Linked DNA regions of Elephas maximus indicus. The protein of the gene in region 2 interacts with the protein of the main gene of each other region in a pairwise test. Links are inferred from orthologs where the notes say so. Each region holds a gene or a part of one and is shown on either strand. Other genes may lie near its edges. The genes, in order: GIGYF1 and GRB10.

Region 1 (9,205 bases), on a different chromosome or scaffold from region 2:
TGGTGTAAGCAACAAGCAGAGGAAAAGTGGCTTAAACAAGCGTGAGAAGCAGGAAAACTGCAGAGGCAAGGGAGGCAGTCAGGGGAGACAAAGAGCCCCTGGGCAGGAAAAGGCCAAAGCCATCCCACCTTCTTGGGGAGAAGCTAGGAGTCAAAGTTCAAGTCTTTAGGACCTGCCAGAGAGGGGTTTGGGGTCCCAGAAGCTGGATGGCTGCCTGATCCTTCCTCAGACCAAATGAACCACTGTCAAGCAGCACAGATGGCACCCCCCCCCCCGCAAAACAAGGTGCAGCTCTGCTCCCCAGGGGGTATTTGATGGACATTTTTCATCACCACAACTGGGAAAAAGGTTGCTACTGGCTGCTAGTGGGTAGAGGCCAAGGATGCTGTTGAACAATGTACAGGACAACCCCCACCACGAAGAATTATCTGGCCCCAAAAGTCAAGTGTGCCACTGTTAAGAAACCCTCCTCTTCCGTGTGAACACAGGTAATGCCCGTTCTGTGTTTATGAGGAAGGGTAAAGGACAAAAACCACATTTACTCAGTTCATTCTCTCCTGTGAACAGTGGGAAAATCCTTCCCTTATGATACTGTCCCAGGAGAGAAAGCCTTGAGAAAATAGCTTAAAGGGGGAAAAAGTTTCTCTATCACAAACTCTCAAACAAAGCATTTGGATCCCCTTCCTATGAAGGCCAGAGCTGGAGAGACAGACAGCAGAAAACTAGGGACCGCATTCTTTTCTGCCTTACATTTTCCTGGCTTTTCTCACATGGCCCCTTCCAGCTTATCCACTACCTCTCTGTACTGCCTCAGTATGCCTACCACATACGACATCTGCCCATTCCCTATCCTTCCATTTCTTCTCTTTCTTGGGCCTCAATACACACTCAGGTGGTACAAAAGTTAGGTGCTCTGCTGCTAACCAAACTTGGGTGGGTCAAACCAATTCAGCTGCTCTGGTGGAGAAAGACCTGGTGACCTGCTCCTGTAAAGATTACAGCCCAGAAAACCCTATGGGGCAGTTCTGCCATCATATGGGGTCACTATGAGTCAAAACTGACTTGACAGCACCTACCAACAATACCCAAGAGCATCTGCTCACTGCTCTAGCATGGGAATTACTGCCATTAAAAGGCTGCCCCCTGCTGGAGATTAGCAGAGAGGACATACACTGGTCCTCACACAGGCTGGAGGGGACAGAAGGAAGCCTGGCAGAGTTCAGAACTCAAGAGAAGGAAAAGACCCAAAAACAAGTGGTCCCGATACCCACTAAGTAAAGACCGTTATTTCCACACCCCATCGCCTCTAAAATTGGCCCAATCCAGAGCAGTGGCCCTTGGCACAGCATGGTACCACGATTAACAGGAGAATTCCAAATTCCCAGCATCTGGAGCAGTCGCCCAGCCCCAAGTCTGCGAAGGTGACTCGGCCCTTTCTCAGGATGGAAAGATTCTCCACTGGGTGAGAACGGTGAGGCTTAAAAGGGGCGTACAAGCCTGTGTTCTTTCTGGCTGGCCCCAGCTCTCTACGCTCTAAGCCCTCATGGTAAATAATAATGCCACCTGGCATTTGTATACTATTTATCGGTTTTTAGAGTGCTTTCACACTTTTCCTTTTTCAGTCTGGGGCTCCAGCCAGGGAAAATAAGAAAGTAAGCTGCAGCTGCTCAACAGGGTTTCCCAACCTCCCTCAGCACCATCCCAGACTGGAGATGGATCGCCCAGCAACAGTTAACTGTCCCAAACGCTCAGGCATACTTTGTGTGTTTAAAACCATTTTTATTTTGTCAGACTTTTTTTTTTTTTTTTTAAACCCTCACGCAGCCTCTTCTCACCTTCTCTCCTCTTAAATATGGCTACTTTTTCTACCCCAAACTCCAACCACAGATGTAAAAGTCAGGCCAAACTGGGTCCTTTATCCATCGCATCACACACAACACTAATGCACCCACTAGCTGAAAAAGCTAGTCCAGAAGTCTAAGCACTCAACTCTCTAGACTTCAGTCACCATAGGAGACCTTACAGGCCCCTGCCCCCCGAGGAGAGGGCGGATTTGCCCCCAAACCTTTCCCAGTTACATGACAATGGGGACACAGACCCAAACAATCTAGGAAATAAAACGAGCTAGGGTGGAGAGTGGGTGGCCTGGGATTGCAAAGGGAAGAGTAGAAATGGGAAAGAATCAAAGACAACTCATATTGGGAGAAGCAGACCAGGACTGGCCTATTAGTACTGATGGTTTCACTTCCCAAGGCAAAGGGGCAGCGGGTAAATTGAAACTGGCGTGTTAGCCTGGAGGGGCTGTGGGAGAGGCTGGGGGGAAGCCCACGAACTTTGGGAAAACAGGACTTTGAGAAACAAGAGAGGAGTAAAACTGGGGTGGGCAGAGGCAAGAGCCAGCCAAGTATGCATTTAGCATCTATCAGTGCCAAGCACTTCGATGGAAGAAACGTGGAAGCTTACTGGGAATTCTGGTAATGACTGGGTAAAAAGTGATAAAGATAAGGGTCTCTCTGCAGTTACCTGAAAAAATGCAAAACCTGAGGGGCTGTGGCCAAGGAGCTGCCGCATCAGGGGAGATGGGCTGAGGAGGTGCGTGTGAGGGCCTAGCTTGGTGAAGGATTAAAGAGTCTCTGTTAAAGAAGATGTTTAATACTGACAAGCAACTGGGAGGAAGGAGACCCCAATGACCAAGCACTAACGTCGCTTGCTGAAAGGAAATTTTAGTGAAGAACCAGTCGAGATGTCTGATTACGGGAAAAGGCTTCCAAAGTCATGAACGCTTGGACTTTAAGCCCCGCAAGGCCCAGCTGATTCCCACAAGAACACCGAGGCGTGTTGGGGAAAATCTCCAGGAAGCGCCAGTCACACAGCACGGGCTCTGTGAAGAGCTGACCATTAGGGTCGGGGACCCCCTCGGCGGGCCCGGCGGAGGATGCGAGCGGGTGGGATGAGGCCCCCGGGGGAGATCGGCTCTCCGCCCCGGGCAGAATTTGGGAAGGGCCCGAAGGGGCGACCGTTAGGAGCGCGGGGGTGGGGAGGAGGCGGGCCGGGCCGGGGAGGACAACGTGCCCTTCAGGGAGGGGGCGCCAGGTGCGCGGGGCGCGGGGTGAAGGGCGAGCGGCGCCAGGAGGGCCCTGGGCTCTGAGGGCGCGCGGGGGCACGGCCCGCTTCGGGGGAGGGTCCGCCGGCGGGCGTCGGGGAGGGGCCGAGAGGGCGGACGCACCGGGCAGGCGACGGCGACCTCGGGGAGGAGACGGGGGAGGGTCCGGCCGGCGGCCCGCGCTCTGGCTCTCGCAGGCTCCGCGCGGCCGCCTCGGCGTCGGGGGCGGGCCTGCCCCAGGCCCGGCTGCGGGCCGGGGTCCACGAAGCCGCCGAGCGCTTACCGCGGGCGGGTGGCGCGAGGTTCGGTCCCAGGGCGTTGGCGGCGCGCGGAGGGCGGGCGGCGGGCGGGCAGCGGCGGCGGGGGAGGGGGCGCTGGCGCTCCCGCGGCGGCCGCTCCTCTCTGTTTGTGTTTGTAGCAAGATGGCTGCCCGCCTCGCACCACGTGACGCGGACGCGGGGACGCGGGGCCGCCCCCTCCGCCGTCGCCGCCACCGCCCTCCGCGGCTCCCGCGGGCTCGGACCCCGCACGGCCTCGCGCGCTCCCCGCGTGTCCAGAGGGGCGCGGCACTGACGCCCGCCCCGCCGAACGCCCCGGCACGTGACCCGGGAGCCTGGCTCGTCACGTGACGTGAGGCCTGCTGCTGGCGGGGCGGGGGGATGCCCCCGGGGTTCTCCCTGAGCTCCCGGGGGTACCCCCGGCACGTGACGCGGGACCCTCGGGACTGAGACCAGGGCTAGTGGCATCTTCGCCAATTCCTGACCAGTCGGCTTCCTTCAGGAAGCCCGCCTGGATTGAAAGAGACAAAATCGAGAAATGTGCATTATGCATCTTGGGATATGTGAAATAAGCGAAGAACCTCATCACTTAGAAACAGTCCCAGGCGGCAGTGGCTTGTGAGACCTGGAGTTTCTGGTTCAGCTTCTAGATCTCGGGCGAATGAGTTGAAGGTTTCGAGCCCCAGCTTCTTTTTTATTTAAAAAAAAAAAAAAAAATAGTGCCGTCTTTTTTACAGAGGGGTGTTAATGCTGTTCCCACCACCCACCCCCGCGTTCCCTTCATTGATTGCTGTAAGAATTTAAATAGGTGAATGTGAAAGCTTTGGAAAGAGACAAACTACTATGTAAATGTGAGACGTTAGGCTGAAACTTCGTTTGTTTAAAAAAGAGGTTTTCAAGAATGACTCCTCCGAATCGCTGAAATTTTTAGGATGAAAAAGTTTTGCGTGTGTGTTCGTCGTTTTCTTTGGAAGTCATTCCAGAATGTAGACTTTACTTTCCCACTTTCTAAAACAGCTGTTACCAAACACAATGTAATCCTTTTCATGACGGGAAAGTAAGTTCATGACTTGGAACTTGAGTCCCTTGTGTGGTACCTTAACAGAATGTGGACTTCAGGAGTGATCTCGAAGGCCCTTTGTTCCTTCAGTAAGCACCCTCTTGCTTCTGTGCACTGTAGTTTTAGTCTTTTTTTTTTTTTTTTAAGCATGCTTTAAGTGGAAGTTTATAGCTCAAGTTGGTTTCTCATACAAAAATTTATACACACATTGGTATGTGACCCTAGTTGCTATCCCTATGTCAGCACACTCCTTTCCATCCTGTATTTCCCGTGTCCATTCAACCAGCTCCTGTCCCTTTCTGCCTTTTCATCTCACCTCTACACAGGAACTGCCAATTTAGTCTCACGTATCTACTTTTATCTACTTGAACTAAGAAGCACAGTCTTCGGGAGTATCATTTTATGTCTTACAGTACAGTCATCTCTGTCTGAAGATTTGGCTCCAGGAATGGTTTTAGTTTGGGGTCAACAGAGAGTCCAGGCAGTGTCTGTTTTTTAAGTTTTGTTGGCTTTCCTGCTTCTGTGTTGTCTTGCTTGTCTTGTAAGCTGCTTGCTTACTGGCTGGAAAATGCAGTGGTTAAGAATAAGGACTCCATCCCTTACTGACTGTGACCTTGGGCAAGTTGGTTAACCTGTCTTTTGTGGTTTGTATCCTAAAGCATTTAGCATGGTACTCGTCAAGCCAAACACTCCACAAATGTTAGCTAATAGGGGCTTCTGGTTTAATGTGATTTGTGAAACGCAATATTCAGGACAGTTAACACTATGAAAATGTGTATCAGCAGAACGCAGCTTGAGTCAGAGAACTGCTAGAATAAAATAAGTGTATGGCCACTGTTTTTTCTACTTAAAAGCTTTTGTTGGTGGTTTACTTTTCTGGATTGGAGTTATGTTCTAGGTGGTTGAAGTTACCAGCAGCCTAATCTCTCAATTTAATAAGCAAACGAGATTGTAAACTATGGTAAAGAGATTATACAGGGAAAAAGAGGGTGGGTCTCTGTGGGGTGGAAGCAGCCAGGACACTGGCTGTTTGAGCTGATCTGGTGGGAAGGGCAGGATTTGGATAGATTTAGGAAAAGTGCAGAAGTTCCTGGGTAGTGCAAATGATTAAGCACTCAGCTACTAGCCAAAAGGTTGGTGGTTCGAACCCACCTAGATACCCCTTGGAGGTAAGGCCTGGCCATCTGCTTCTATAAGGTCACTGCCATAAAAACCCTATGGAGCGCAGTTCTACTCAATGGCAACTGGTAGGAAAAGTGTGTGTAGGTTTGTGAAGAGTGACAGTCCGGGCTGATGAGAGAAGAGGATCCTGAACCGCTAGTTGAACAAGAAATGAAGTGAAACTTAAGTTGAGGGGCTGGAATGCTGCTGTGAAAGTCTGCGTTTGAGAGTAGAAACCACTGTGGATGTAGCATAATAAGGACAGCACACTGGATTCCAGGGTAGAAGGTTGGGGCGATTGCGCAGGATCCCCTGTGTATCATTTTGCAAGTCATTTAATCTCCCCGACTCTAAAGTGGGAGGGCTGTTTCTGATGACACTGAATGTATAGGCTGCCTCTTTGAGGAAGGAAACAATTAAATCTGAACTGTGAATCTCCCATCCGGTATTATGAAAACAGTCACTTGGACCTAAAATACTTTTGTTTATTCAGGTGCTATGCTGTAGAATGTCTTGATCTGGGTTGTTTTCAATTTGCAAACGTTTGAACTTAACAAAGATTTAGTTAAGATGATTAATTGAGATAAAAGGGAGGTCTCAAGACTAACAGCCAATCTCTGCCTTTTTTATAATGCCAGGTTCATCTGTGGTGTTTTCCTTCAATGAAATGTAAAGAGATAAGGACTCTCTTGTTGTTAAATCAGTTTATTACAGAGACTGACTTCACCCACCTAAATTGCCAATGTTTATATTTAGCTGGATATCAACACTTGTAAAACATGTGTCAAATACCATGAAAAGACACACAGCCTGAGCAATGTGGTGATAGTTCATTAAAGTGACAAAAAAAAACCTGTTGCGTCAAGTCGATTCCGACTCATAGCAGCCCTATAGGACAGAGTAGAACTGCTCCACAAGGTTTCCGAGGAGTGGCTGGTGGATTCAAACTGTTGACCTTTTGGTTACCAGCTGATTTATTAACCACCACGCTACCAGGGCTCCTGATTAAAGCAAAGCCTCATAAGTTGTCTAAATTCCTGAGGAGTAAGAAACAGGATCAGCACAAAACTGGTTCCAGTGGGGCGGAGGTTCAGCTATAACTCTGCCTCCCCACTTTCTCCATAATTTCTGACACCAGCCACTCCCCCCGTGACACTCTACTTCTCTGCAGGACTTGATAATTTATTGCAGTGGCCTCACAGAACTCACAGACCATACTCACAGTTATGCGGTTTATTAGGAAAGTTAACAGGTTATATAACTCAGGACCGTATCAGCTTGGAAGTTGCAAGAACGCAGGATCCGTGTCAGGAAACACACAGGCCTCCAGTGATCAGTTGGGTGTGGCTTCTCTGCCAGGTGGCTGTCTTCTCTGCCTTGCAGGCCCCTCCATTGTCAGGCTCCCTGCCACTAACTGGCCCAGCTCATAGCCAGTATAGCAGCCTGCTCAGCTTTCTCAGCTGCTGCTCTGCTAGTAGCAGCTCTGTACCGTCAGACCTCTCTGCCATCGGCTCTTCCATGGCTAACTGGCCCAGCTCATAGCCAGTGTAACAGCCTAGTCAGCTTTCTTAGCTGCTGCTCTGCTAGCAGCAACTTTCTGCTGTTGGACCTCTCTGCTGTTGGGTGCTCTGCTTTCAGGCTATCCGCCTTCAGCCTCTTTGCTGCTAATTGGGCCAGTTAACCGCCCGCGTAGCAACTGTTCAGAAGTAGGCCTCTTTGCTGCTAACTACCCCAGCCAGTGTAGCAGCTTCAAGATCACTCAGTTCCCACGTGGCTCTGCTTCTCTGTTGGGCAGCTCTTAGCCAGTATCTCCCTCTCTCTTCCAGGAGGCCTCTCAAAACTTCTGCAGTTCAGCCATTTATATATCCTGATCCTTGTCAGTTACAAGGCGAGGCCTCCCTCATCAGACCAGTTCAACCAATCCTCAGTCAACCCCTGCAATGTCAATCAACTCAGGTCTTGTTAGTTATCAGGGGGAAGTATCAAACCATCAAGTTGCTTTTACAGTTTACCCAGGAAATGTCAATTAACCTAGAAGATCCCTTGGGCAAAAGTAATACACCGTTTGGGGTAGAAAATAACCTGGGAGCCCCCGCCCACATTGCTTCTCCGAAAAATTAGGAAAAAGAGTTTAAGGGGGAAAATCTCCCAAGCTGGTTTTTCCCAAAGAACCAAAGCAAAAGGCCGCGTAAAGGAACTCAATTTGCCATGTCCCTAAACTGTGCTTGTAGTAAATTATTTCAGACACAGTGGGCCTTAACATTAATGTATTACATTCAGAATTACTTTTGGCCATGAATTAAGTTTTCTGATCGGCCTACGTAACAAGGGTGGCAATATTTCGGGGATTTGGAACAGCAGCTTTCTATTATCCACTGCTCCTTCTATGTGGTCAGGCAAGCTGCTTGCTCACAGGCTAGAAAATGCAGCGGCTCAGAGTGAGGACTCCCGCGCTGCTTCCATCCTGTACTGACTGTGGCCTTGGGCAAGTTGGTTAACCTCTCTGTCTGGGGTGGTTTGTATCATAAAGCACTTGTCACAGTGCTTTAAAGTTAAAAGTACGCCTGACAATTTCATAACCCCAAACAACGTGGAACTTTCTTTATATTTGGATAATAGCCACTTGGTGGAGTTGATGTGAGGACAGGAAGAGAGAATGCCTCAATAAAGCACACTATTAGGGGTAAACTGGTCTGCAAATGTTAGGTGTATTGTTAATAAGACAGACCACACACAAAAAGCAGTTGGGTTTTTAATACACAAGCAATGAACAAGTAGAAAAGAAAATCAAGGAAACATTACTATTTACAATAGGCAAAAAAAAAAAAAAAAAACCAAACACGGTGCTGTCGAGTTGATTCCGACTCATAGCAGCACTATAGGACAGAGTAGAACTGCCCCATAGAGTTTCCAAGGAGTGCCTGGCAGATTCGAACTGCTGACCCTTTGGTTAGCAGCTGTAGCACTTAACCACTACGCCACCAGGGTTTCCACTAATAAAATACCTAGGAATAATTTTAACTAGGAAGGAGAAAGACATGTGCACAGAAAACTGTAAAACATTTCTAAATGAAATCAAAGAAGACCTAAATAAATGGAAGGACATTCCATGTTTGTGGGTTTGAAGGCTTGCTATAGTTAGGATGTCAATACTATGCAAAGCAATCTATAAATTCACTGCAGTCCCCATCAAAATTCCAACAGCTTTCCATGCAGAAATGGAAAAGCCCATCCTCAAATTTGTATGGAAGGGCAAGGGACCCTAAATAGCTAAATCAATCTTTTCAAAAATTTTATTTATTTTCTTGAGAATATACACACACGTTAATTCAACAGTTTCTACATGTACAGTTCAGTGACATTGATTATATTCTTTGGGTTGTACAACCGTTCTCACTCTCCTTTTCTGAGTTGTTCCTCTCCCATTAATAAACTCACTGTCCCCTAAGTTTCCTATCTAACCTTTCAAGTTGCTGTTGTCAGTTTGATCCCATGTAGATAAATCTTGAGAGAGCGCAGTGCTCAAGGCAGACATTCTTTACTAGGTAAGTTAAACTATTGTCTGATTTTAAGAAGATTTCAGGGGATATTTTTGGTTTAAGA
Region 2 (8,776 bases):
CTGCACCACTAGAGCTCCTTAAACTAACTTCAACCCAACCTGCTGCCATCGACTCGATGCCAACTCACAGCAACCCTACAGGACAGAGTAGAACCGCCCCAAAGGGTTTCCAAGGAACAGCTGATGGATTCTAACTGCCGACCTTTTGGTTAGCAGCTGAATGCTTAACCACTGAACCACAAACTTAGATACAGCTAACATACATTCTGCCACTGTATAGGCTTCTTCCCCCTGCAATTCAGAGCTGGACAGAAGTCCAAGGAAATAGGTTCCTTAAATTATACCACCTTTAAAGCATTAGTTTTTATCAGATATACAAACCAAGAATTTTTACACCTCTGGGATGAAGCTGAAGGCACAAAAGATGTCTTTGTTCAAGCTAGAGTATGGTTTCTATACATTGCAAAGTCTCAGACCCAGCCAAGTCATCAAAATAAGAACTGCTGAGTTTGCTCTTAAATTCTGATTCTGCTCTTTTCTTCCAGTAAAGGCAGAGGGCACACAGAGCCGGTTGCTGTGACTGAGCCAGGGCTGCCATGGGTTCCAATCCTGGTGGCTCCCATCAGACCACAAAGCCCTGGCTAAGTAACTGACATGAATCTGCCCAGCTCCCGGGTTCCTAGTCCACAAAATGGCAAGTGTTTTGACCAGTCAAACACTACCACAAAAGCAATGCAGCAAACCACGAGTGATACCCAACAGGTGACTTTAGGGGTACACAACTCGCAAAAAACGTAACTATCATATTAAACCCATGACTTCATGAATATCAAAGGTTCTTCTTAAAATAAACACCTACTTAAGTACGTGAGGCATTTTGATTAGTGGCAGAATTCTTGCCTTCCATGCAGGAGGCCCGAATTCGATTCCTGGCTAGTACACTTCAGGCACAGTCACTACCTGTCAGTAGAGCCTTGCGTACTGCTATGGTGTTGAACAGATTTCAGTGGAGCTTCCAGACTAAAGATGGAGTAGGAAGAAAGGCCTGGCGACCTACTTCCAAAATCAGCCAATGAATACCCTACGGATCACAACGGTCCAATCCACAACTTGATCATGGAGAAGGAGCAGGACCAAGCTGCGTTTTGTTCCCATTTGCATGAGTCAGGAGCCAACTGAAAGGCAGCTAACAACTTTTAAGTATACAATGTGAATGGGCTAAAAAAAAATATTGACGGCAGCATGGCAATAGGGCAGAAATCTTGAATGCTTGGTGCCGGGGGCTAAACAAGGGTCACAGGTCCTCCTAGTTGTCCGTGTGACTGAGGGGTGTGCCTCCTCCCTGCTGCCATCACCCTTTTTGAGAGGATGTACTTGTGCAGAAGTATAAAACACACAGGACTAAAAAGAATTCAAGGCTTAGGCTCAGGTACAGCTCTGCCATTTGCTGTTTGGGGACCTTGGGCATACCCGTTAACCTCCTGAGCCTTGGTTTCCACATCTGTAAAATGGGGATCAGGAAGCTGTAGAAGGATTAAAAGCAGCAAGGCTTTTGAAAGTGCCTTGTAAACTGAAATGCTACAGCAGTGTCAGTCGCTACACTTCTCAGTTACACAGGCAATGCTGCTGGGTGTGTGACTTGGTCTGTCCTCAAATCCCCTCCCTGTAATCTAGGGATTGGCCTGTGTGGCCCCTTCTTTCAAATGCTCCTGGTAAAACTCAAACAGTATGTGCAGTAATCCTAGAGTTTTGATTTTTAACAGAACTACTAAGACACCTAGAAGCATTCCTGGAGATACATTTGGTTTCATGGCTTTGACAGAACAACACACTCCCCTAAAAGACATTTCACCGTTGCCACAGACCAGAATTTCTTCTTGCAGAAACCTAGCTCCCACCTATTTTTCCTCCAAGAAAGAAAAGATGAAACTCTTGGTCAAGACTTGGGAAAACTGACTAGCACTGTGGCCCACACCTCGGTCAGTGCTGTGCTGCAGCGCTGACATGTGTTCCTCCTGGTAAAAACTGAGCGAAACGTTAAATACGGCACCGCTTCTGAAACTCAGGAGCTCCAAACGGCTGAATCAGCATTTTCAGAAACAAAGTGTTCTGGGCCTGGCCTTTTAAACAGCAGCAAAGAGAAAGTTGTGCAATAATGCATATTTACTCAAGAGCGCTACTTATTTGGGTTCTTTTCTTTGCATCTCTTGAATGAAACGGGGTACTACATTTGCAGGAAAACATTTCTTAAATGTATCCTAAAGATTCAGGGCCGTGTAAAAGTCACCTGTGGCTCCTCTACATTACCCAAGGTTTCAGTCAAAGCAAACAACAAAAATGTAGCGTTTCTTCCAATCCCGAAAAAAGAAAAGCCGCATAAAAAGTAAATACCCTAATTTCCATAACGCACATGCTTGAGTACCGTCACCAGGCAGGCGTTTGGAGAGGCAATCAGAAAAGGCAGAGCATTGCATCAGAAATTTCCTTCTGCAAACGGTATCGCTCTTATCACATTTCCACGGCTGGCGCGGCGGCTAATCCGCGAGCCCTCAACTTGATGTTAGGCCCAGAAGGGGGTAACGGGGTGACTAACAAAGCCAAAAAAAAAAAAAAAAAAAAATTCCCCGCGGGCCGGAGTCCCAGGCCGCGCAGCGCTCTGGACTTGGGAGTGCCCGTGCACCGCTGACCCCGCGGCTGGCCAGGCCACGAGCGTCGCGGCCCCCACCTCAGTTGGAAGGAGGGGGCTGCAGAAGCGCCCCGCGGCTAGCCCTCCCCGAGCCCGGGGCAGCCCCCCGGGAGCGCGGCCTCGGCCCCCACCCCCACCGCGAGTGCAGCTAGCGTCTGACAAGATGGTTCAAGAATGCACCGTTTGCGCTCAACACCTCCCCCAAGGGGTCGCGAAGGGAGTCGGGAGAGAGCCCCGGGCGAAGCGCCCGGCCGGCTCCAAGCGCGCTCGCTCGCATCCCGAGTCCCCGCCTCTTGGTGCCTCCAGCCTCGGGCCCGGGGCGGCTGAGCCCCCCGCCCGGAGGCGACGCCCTTCCGCCCCGCCCGCGCCTCCCGGGGTGCCCGCCGGCTCTGGCCGCTGCCGGCGAGCGCGCAGACAATGCCGGCGACCGGCCGCTCCCGGCGAACCGGGCCCGGCAGGCCGGCCGGCGAGCCCGGCCCCTCCCGCGGAGGACACCAAGCGACAAAGTAACTTCCCCGCAGCGCTCCCCGCCCAAGTCAGCGGCGCGCGGCCGGCGGGGCCGCTCCATACCTGCTGCGGGCGCCGTTCCCCGGCCGCCTCCGCGTGGCCGCGGGCGACACTCCCGCCCGGTCGGACGCCGCGCTGGGTCTCCCCGCGGGGACTGAGAGAGGCGCGCAGGACCGTCACCCGGTCGGGACCCGCGCCGGCGCCGCGCCGAAGGACTGCGCGAAAACTTTGGCTCCGCCGCCGCCGCCGGTCCTGCGTGGTCACCGCCTGGTCTCCCAGAGCCGTGCCCGACCCCTGCCCGCCCGCGGCGCGCACTCGCCGTCCAGCCGGCCGCCTCCCGGCCCGCCGCGCCTCCAGCTCCTTTGCCTTCCTTCCTCCGTGCCTGCCTTCCCCGCCCCCCCCAATGGGCTTTAAACTCTTCCAGCCCCGCCCGCCCCTCCTCCGCCTCCTCCGCCTCCGCCTCCTCCCCCGGCCGCCTTTCCTGCTCCTCCTCCCGCCACCGCCGCAGCCCGGACCGCTGGGCAGCCGCCACGGCGGGAGGAGCTGTGGCCTCGGCCCGGGCGTGACGCGCAGGGCGTCGGGGCAGAGTAAGGCAGGGGCCTCGGCGGAGCATCCCCCGGGCGGCGCCGGCGGCGTCTGCGCGGCCCGTGCCTGAGGCGAGCGAGGAGGGACAGGCAGCCGTGGATGAGCCCCGGAACCCCCTCCCCCTGCTGCCCTAGGGCCGGGGCGGACGCGGGAACCGAGAGCTAATGAGAGATCGGAACTATTTCAAAAGGCAGTTTGTAAGTGAATGTTTGAAACTCAGGAGTATTAACGATCCAGTCCAAATTCTTCATCTTGGGCGAGTCCAAAATTCTTCATCAGGACGAGACAGATAAATTGCAGCTGCCCGTACTCTGTCGTGGGGATGGCGGTCCCCGGGCCAGGAAAAGGAAACCTGGGTTTCCAGTGTCAGTCATAGTCAGTGGGTTTGCGGCTTTTGCCACTCTGGGCCTCAGTTTCCCATCTGCAAGTGAGTATCAGAGTGGTGATAGAGTGGGAAGACCAGAATATTTCCTTAATGTCGCTTAGCCTGTGTCCTTATCTTTGAAATGGGCTAATAAGAACACAGGCCTCAGAGTCATGGGGGTTAAATGAGGTCATACCCATAACATAAAGTCACTGGCAGGAATGAACCCCCGCGTTGATGGAAACTATTGTCGTTAATATGATTACTTATGTCTATGCTGTCAAAATTATAATACAAAGAGGAAAATAATAATATGTCTTTTTTGGGCCTTAATGTTGTTTTTTAAAAAGCTACAACAGTAACTTACTTTTATTGAACACATACTTTGTGCCAGCACTCATTCATTCTTTCATTCAGTCTGCACCCTGGCCCTCTAAGGTTGTTACTGGGAGCTACCCACTTCACAGACTTGGACACTGAGTCTTGGAGGTACTAAATAATTTGCCAAAGTCCAGGTAGCTGGTAAGTGGCAGAGAAAGAATTCAATGCCATTTACCAGGCCAAAGCACTTTTGAAAACCCATTGTTATCTCATGGTGACCCCATGTGTGTCAGAATAGAAACGTGCTGCATAGGGTTTTTCAGTGACTGATTTGTCCAGAAGTAGATTGCCATGCCGGACAGACACCCTAGGTGCTTCTGGGTGGACTTGAACTTCTGGCCTTTCGTTTAGCAGCCAAATGCCTAACCATTTGCATCACCCAGGGACCCTGAAGCCCTTTTTAGGCACCTTTTAGCATTTGTTTCTGTATTTCTTTTCCTTCTAGTAATGGTTTTTCCCACAGTATTCTGTGTACTAGACTTCTTTTTCTGGAACTGAAACATTTCTACCCATTGGTCCAAGCTCAGAAAGCATTAAGATGAAAATCATGGGAGGATGGAGCGAACGAAAGATTCCTAGGGAAAAGGAACACATGGGATTATATTTTAAGCAAGGGATTTGAAAAATGTAAAGACTACAGGAAAGAAGAGAAACTAGGTTTTGGTCAACTTCTTAAATGTCTATGCTTTGAACCTTATAGCAGTCCATGTCTTCAGCAGCCAGAATGCTTGAGAGACAGGGGCTTTTATAGATGTTCGAAAAGTACTAGTTGCCATCAGGTGGATACCAACTCATGGCAACCCCACGTGTGCAGAATAGAGCTGCTCCATAGGCTTTTCAAGGCTGTGACATCTCAGAAGCAGATTAGCAGGACTGTCTTCTGAGCTGCCTCTGGGTGGGTTCGAACCGCCAACCTATTCACTAGCCCTTGAGTGCTTAAACTATTGTGCCATCCAGGGACTGCATTTGAAAAGTACCAATATGCATATACTTTTTTTTTTTAACTATTTGTGGGTAATTACATACACCTTGGAGTCCCTGGGTGGTGCAAATTGTAATGCACTCAGCTGCTAACTGAAAGGTTGAAGGTTTGTGTCTACCCAGAGGCACCTCAGAAGAAAGGCCTGGCAATCTACTTCCAAAAACTCAGCCATTAAAAACGCTATGGAACACAGTTCTCCCCAGACACAAAAGGGGTTGCCCTGAGTCGGAATGGACTAGATGGAGCTGGTTTATTTTGGTACATACACCATGGCCCTTTGCCATACATACCTGATATATCTTTCCATCTTTCCTAAGAATAGCAATGTTATCTACATAACTACAGTACAGTTCTCAGATTCATAAATTTACATTGATAAAATACTTGTGTCTAATCTTTTTTTTTTTTTTTTTAATCTATATCTATATTCCAATTTTGTCAGTCAGTCTGATAGTGTCCTTTATGGTGTTTTCTTCCTCTTCTTTACAACATCCAGTCTATGGTCAGGTATTACATTTAGTTGTCTGGAAATATATGGGTTTTTAAACATTACTATTCACTAAGAAAGGATTAAGATAAGTGTCCTCAAGTGTTTTCATACTGACATCCATCACCAGAATTCCTAGGACAGGGCTTTATTCCCCACATTTTTCCCATAGACATCCATGCCTGCCTCTCCTTTCTGGGCAGGACACGATCGGTACGACTTTTTGATACAAGTTCACGCATCTTGGCACTCCTGTGGCTGGAGACGCGGCAGCTGTCCTCAGCGCAGCCATCCTGCCCGAGCCACTCCTGTAGGCAGATTGTCTTCCCTGCCCCAGACTCCTGATGCCCATGGCCCACAGGCTCCCTCCCTCAGGATGGAAGCCAGAAGTGGAATACAGCAATGCAGCCTATAAATTATACAGAGAGCCAGCCTAGTAGGCACAAGGCAGAGTGTCTTTATAGTTCAAGAACTTCACCACAGAAAAACGTATTAGCTGGAAGGTTAGGTCTCAGGACAGGAGACAAGATTTGTGACAGGCAGGAACTCAATTATCCGAACATATGTTGTAAGACTCATTTGGCTGAAAGCAGAGAATCTCAGCGATTCGAATTCCTAATTAGTAATGAACTGACTAATGTCTGTCTCCCTTTTTGACTGTAAGTAGGATGAGAGAGGTCACCAGTGTCATCCCAGCAGAGGGAGCACTAAGCAAAATAAGCATTACTGGGAAATAGTCTCATGTGAAGGAATTTATTAGTAGAAGAAACGAGTGGAACAAATGAAAACACCGAGACCTGGCCTGATGGAGCAGCCGTCGTTTCAAACATTACCAGTAGCCTTGGCAAAGGAAAGGGGAGCAGGGCAAGTGGCACCCTGACAGTTAAATGCCCTGGTCAAAGGTTCCCCTCACATCTGGCCACTTGGGGCTAAGACTGGTCACATGACTCAGCCACGCACGTGCCAATGCAGGTAGGGGATTGATCTGCAGTCAGCAATACTCACATCCTAGTGCATAAACTGACTGCCTGCCTCTGTACCCCAAAGGGGCTTTTTTGTTGTTGTTAGCTGTCCAGTCACCCCTAACTCATGGCAACTCTGGACCAGTATGATCCATAGGGTTTTCAATGGCTGACGTTTTTGGAAATAGATCATGAGCCTTTCTTCCTAGTCTGCCTTAGTCTGGAAGCTACGGTGAAACCTGTCCAGCATCATAGCAACACAACCAGCCTCCACTCACAGGCAGGTGGTTGCTGCACATGAAGTGAATTGGCCAGGAATTGAACCCAGGTCTCCCACATGGAAGGCAAGAGTGCTACCACCGAACGACTGCTGCCACAGGGGCCCATAAGCACGGCTGATTCCTGGGCCCGTCCCAGCCCTAGGAGAGTCGCACTCCAGGGTCAAGCGACATTTTTCACAAACTCCACCAAGACCCACCTGCACACCAGTATTCCAAACACTAAGATTTTTTGAAACCTCTGAACTAGAGAAATGCAGGTTGCCCTGGAGTATAGAGTTGGGGGGATGGGGCATTCAGGGACAGCTTCCTAGTGGTGGTCACGCCCCAGTGGCGTCCTGGAGCATCAAAGTTGGTAAGTTAGTCAAAGAAAGAACTAAAGAAAGGGTCTTCCAGGTAAAGGAAGAAGCAGGTACTTAGGACTATGGTGGTGGTGGTTGCTGTGGACTCCATTCCGACTCATTGCAAGCCCATGTGTGCAGAATAGAACTGAGATCCATAGGGTTCTCTTGACTGTAATCTTTATGGAAGGAGATTGCCAGGGCTTTTCTTCTACGGTACTGCTGGCTGAGTTCGAACCACCAACCTTTAGGTTAGCAGTCAAGCACAAACCGTATCTGTCAAATAAGGACCTTTTCTAGGACTATAGCCAAGAAGAATTTGGCTCCTTCAGGGAACAACACTTCACTGAAGGACACCAAGTAGTTGCGCTTAGTCAGAATGCTGAGCCTGGGGATCATGGAAGGGTGGTCAGGAGATTTGACGAGAGACTAGGTAAGAAGGAGACAGATCAAGAAGGGTCTTACTTGCCATGCTAAGAAATTTATACGTTATGTCCATAATGGGCCTACCATTTTTCTTCCTGACTGGAGGTTTGCCTCCACAACCCTGGTTTTCCTTGGTCTCTAAGAACAATTGCTTTGACCAAGGATTCCCATTCCATAGATCAGCCTGTGGGCAAAGGATGAACTCAGCCAATCAGATGCCTGCTTTGGAATTTGAACCCATACGTACTGGAAGGGGACAGGATAAGGGGAGCCATCTGTGAAGAACAGGTGAGTTGGGCTAAAGATGTTAAGGATGATATACTAAAGAAAGACCCAAATGTGGCAGAAGAGAGACGCCCTTCACCTACTGTCTCCCCAGGCCTTGGGCTATATAGCAACACTTACTTTGAGTTCCCGTGAAATTTCATTTTCTTTATGATGTCTTTTTTTTCCCCCTTTTTATACACATAATTTTATTTTCCTGTTGAGAATATACACTACAAAACACCAATTCAGTAGTTTCTCTATGTACCATTTAGTGACATTACATTCTTCAAGTTGTGTAACCATTCTCACCCTCCTTTTCTGAGGTGTTCCTCCCCCATTAACATAAACTCACCGCCCCCTAAGGTTCTTATCTTTTCAGTCGCTGTTGTCAATTTGATTCCATGTAGATAGTTCTTAAAAGAGCGTAATGCTCAAGGCAGACATTTTTTACTAGTTAATGCTAAACTATTGTTTGGTTTTAAGACTTCAGGGGATATTTATGGTTTAAGATTTAAAGATTATCTTGGCAATAGTTTCAGGGGTTCATCCAACCATTATGGCTTCAGGAAG

Evidence for each region.
Region 1: the proteins of GRB10 (region 2) and GIGYF1 interact in a two-hybrid assay, tested with the Homo sapiens proteins (2 studies listed by BioGRID). The link is inferred for Elephas maximus indicus from reciprocal best matches to the Homo sapiens genes GRB10 and GIGYF1.

Annotation. Positions count from the first base shown.
Region 1 is NC_064830.1:92,094,554-92,103,758, forward strand, and holds the start of GIGYF1 (GRB10-interacting GYF protein 1), read right to left. Parts: upstream 3,652-9,205; 5' UTR 3,387-3,651; intron 3,356-3,386; exon of another isoform or gene 3,227-3,355; intron 1-3,226. UniProt on the Homo sapiens protein: May act cooperatively with GRB10 to regulate tyrosine kinase receptor signaling. May increase IGF1 receptor phosphorylation under IGF1 stimulation as well as phosphorylation of IRS1 and SHC1.
Region 2 is NC_064826.1:112,564,850-112,573,625, reverse strand, and holds the start of GRB10 (growth factor receptor-bound protein 10), read right to left. Parts: upstream 3,505-8,776; 5' UTR 3,197-3,504; intron 1-3,196.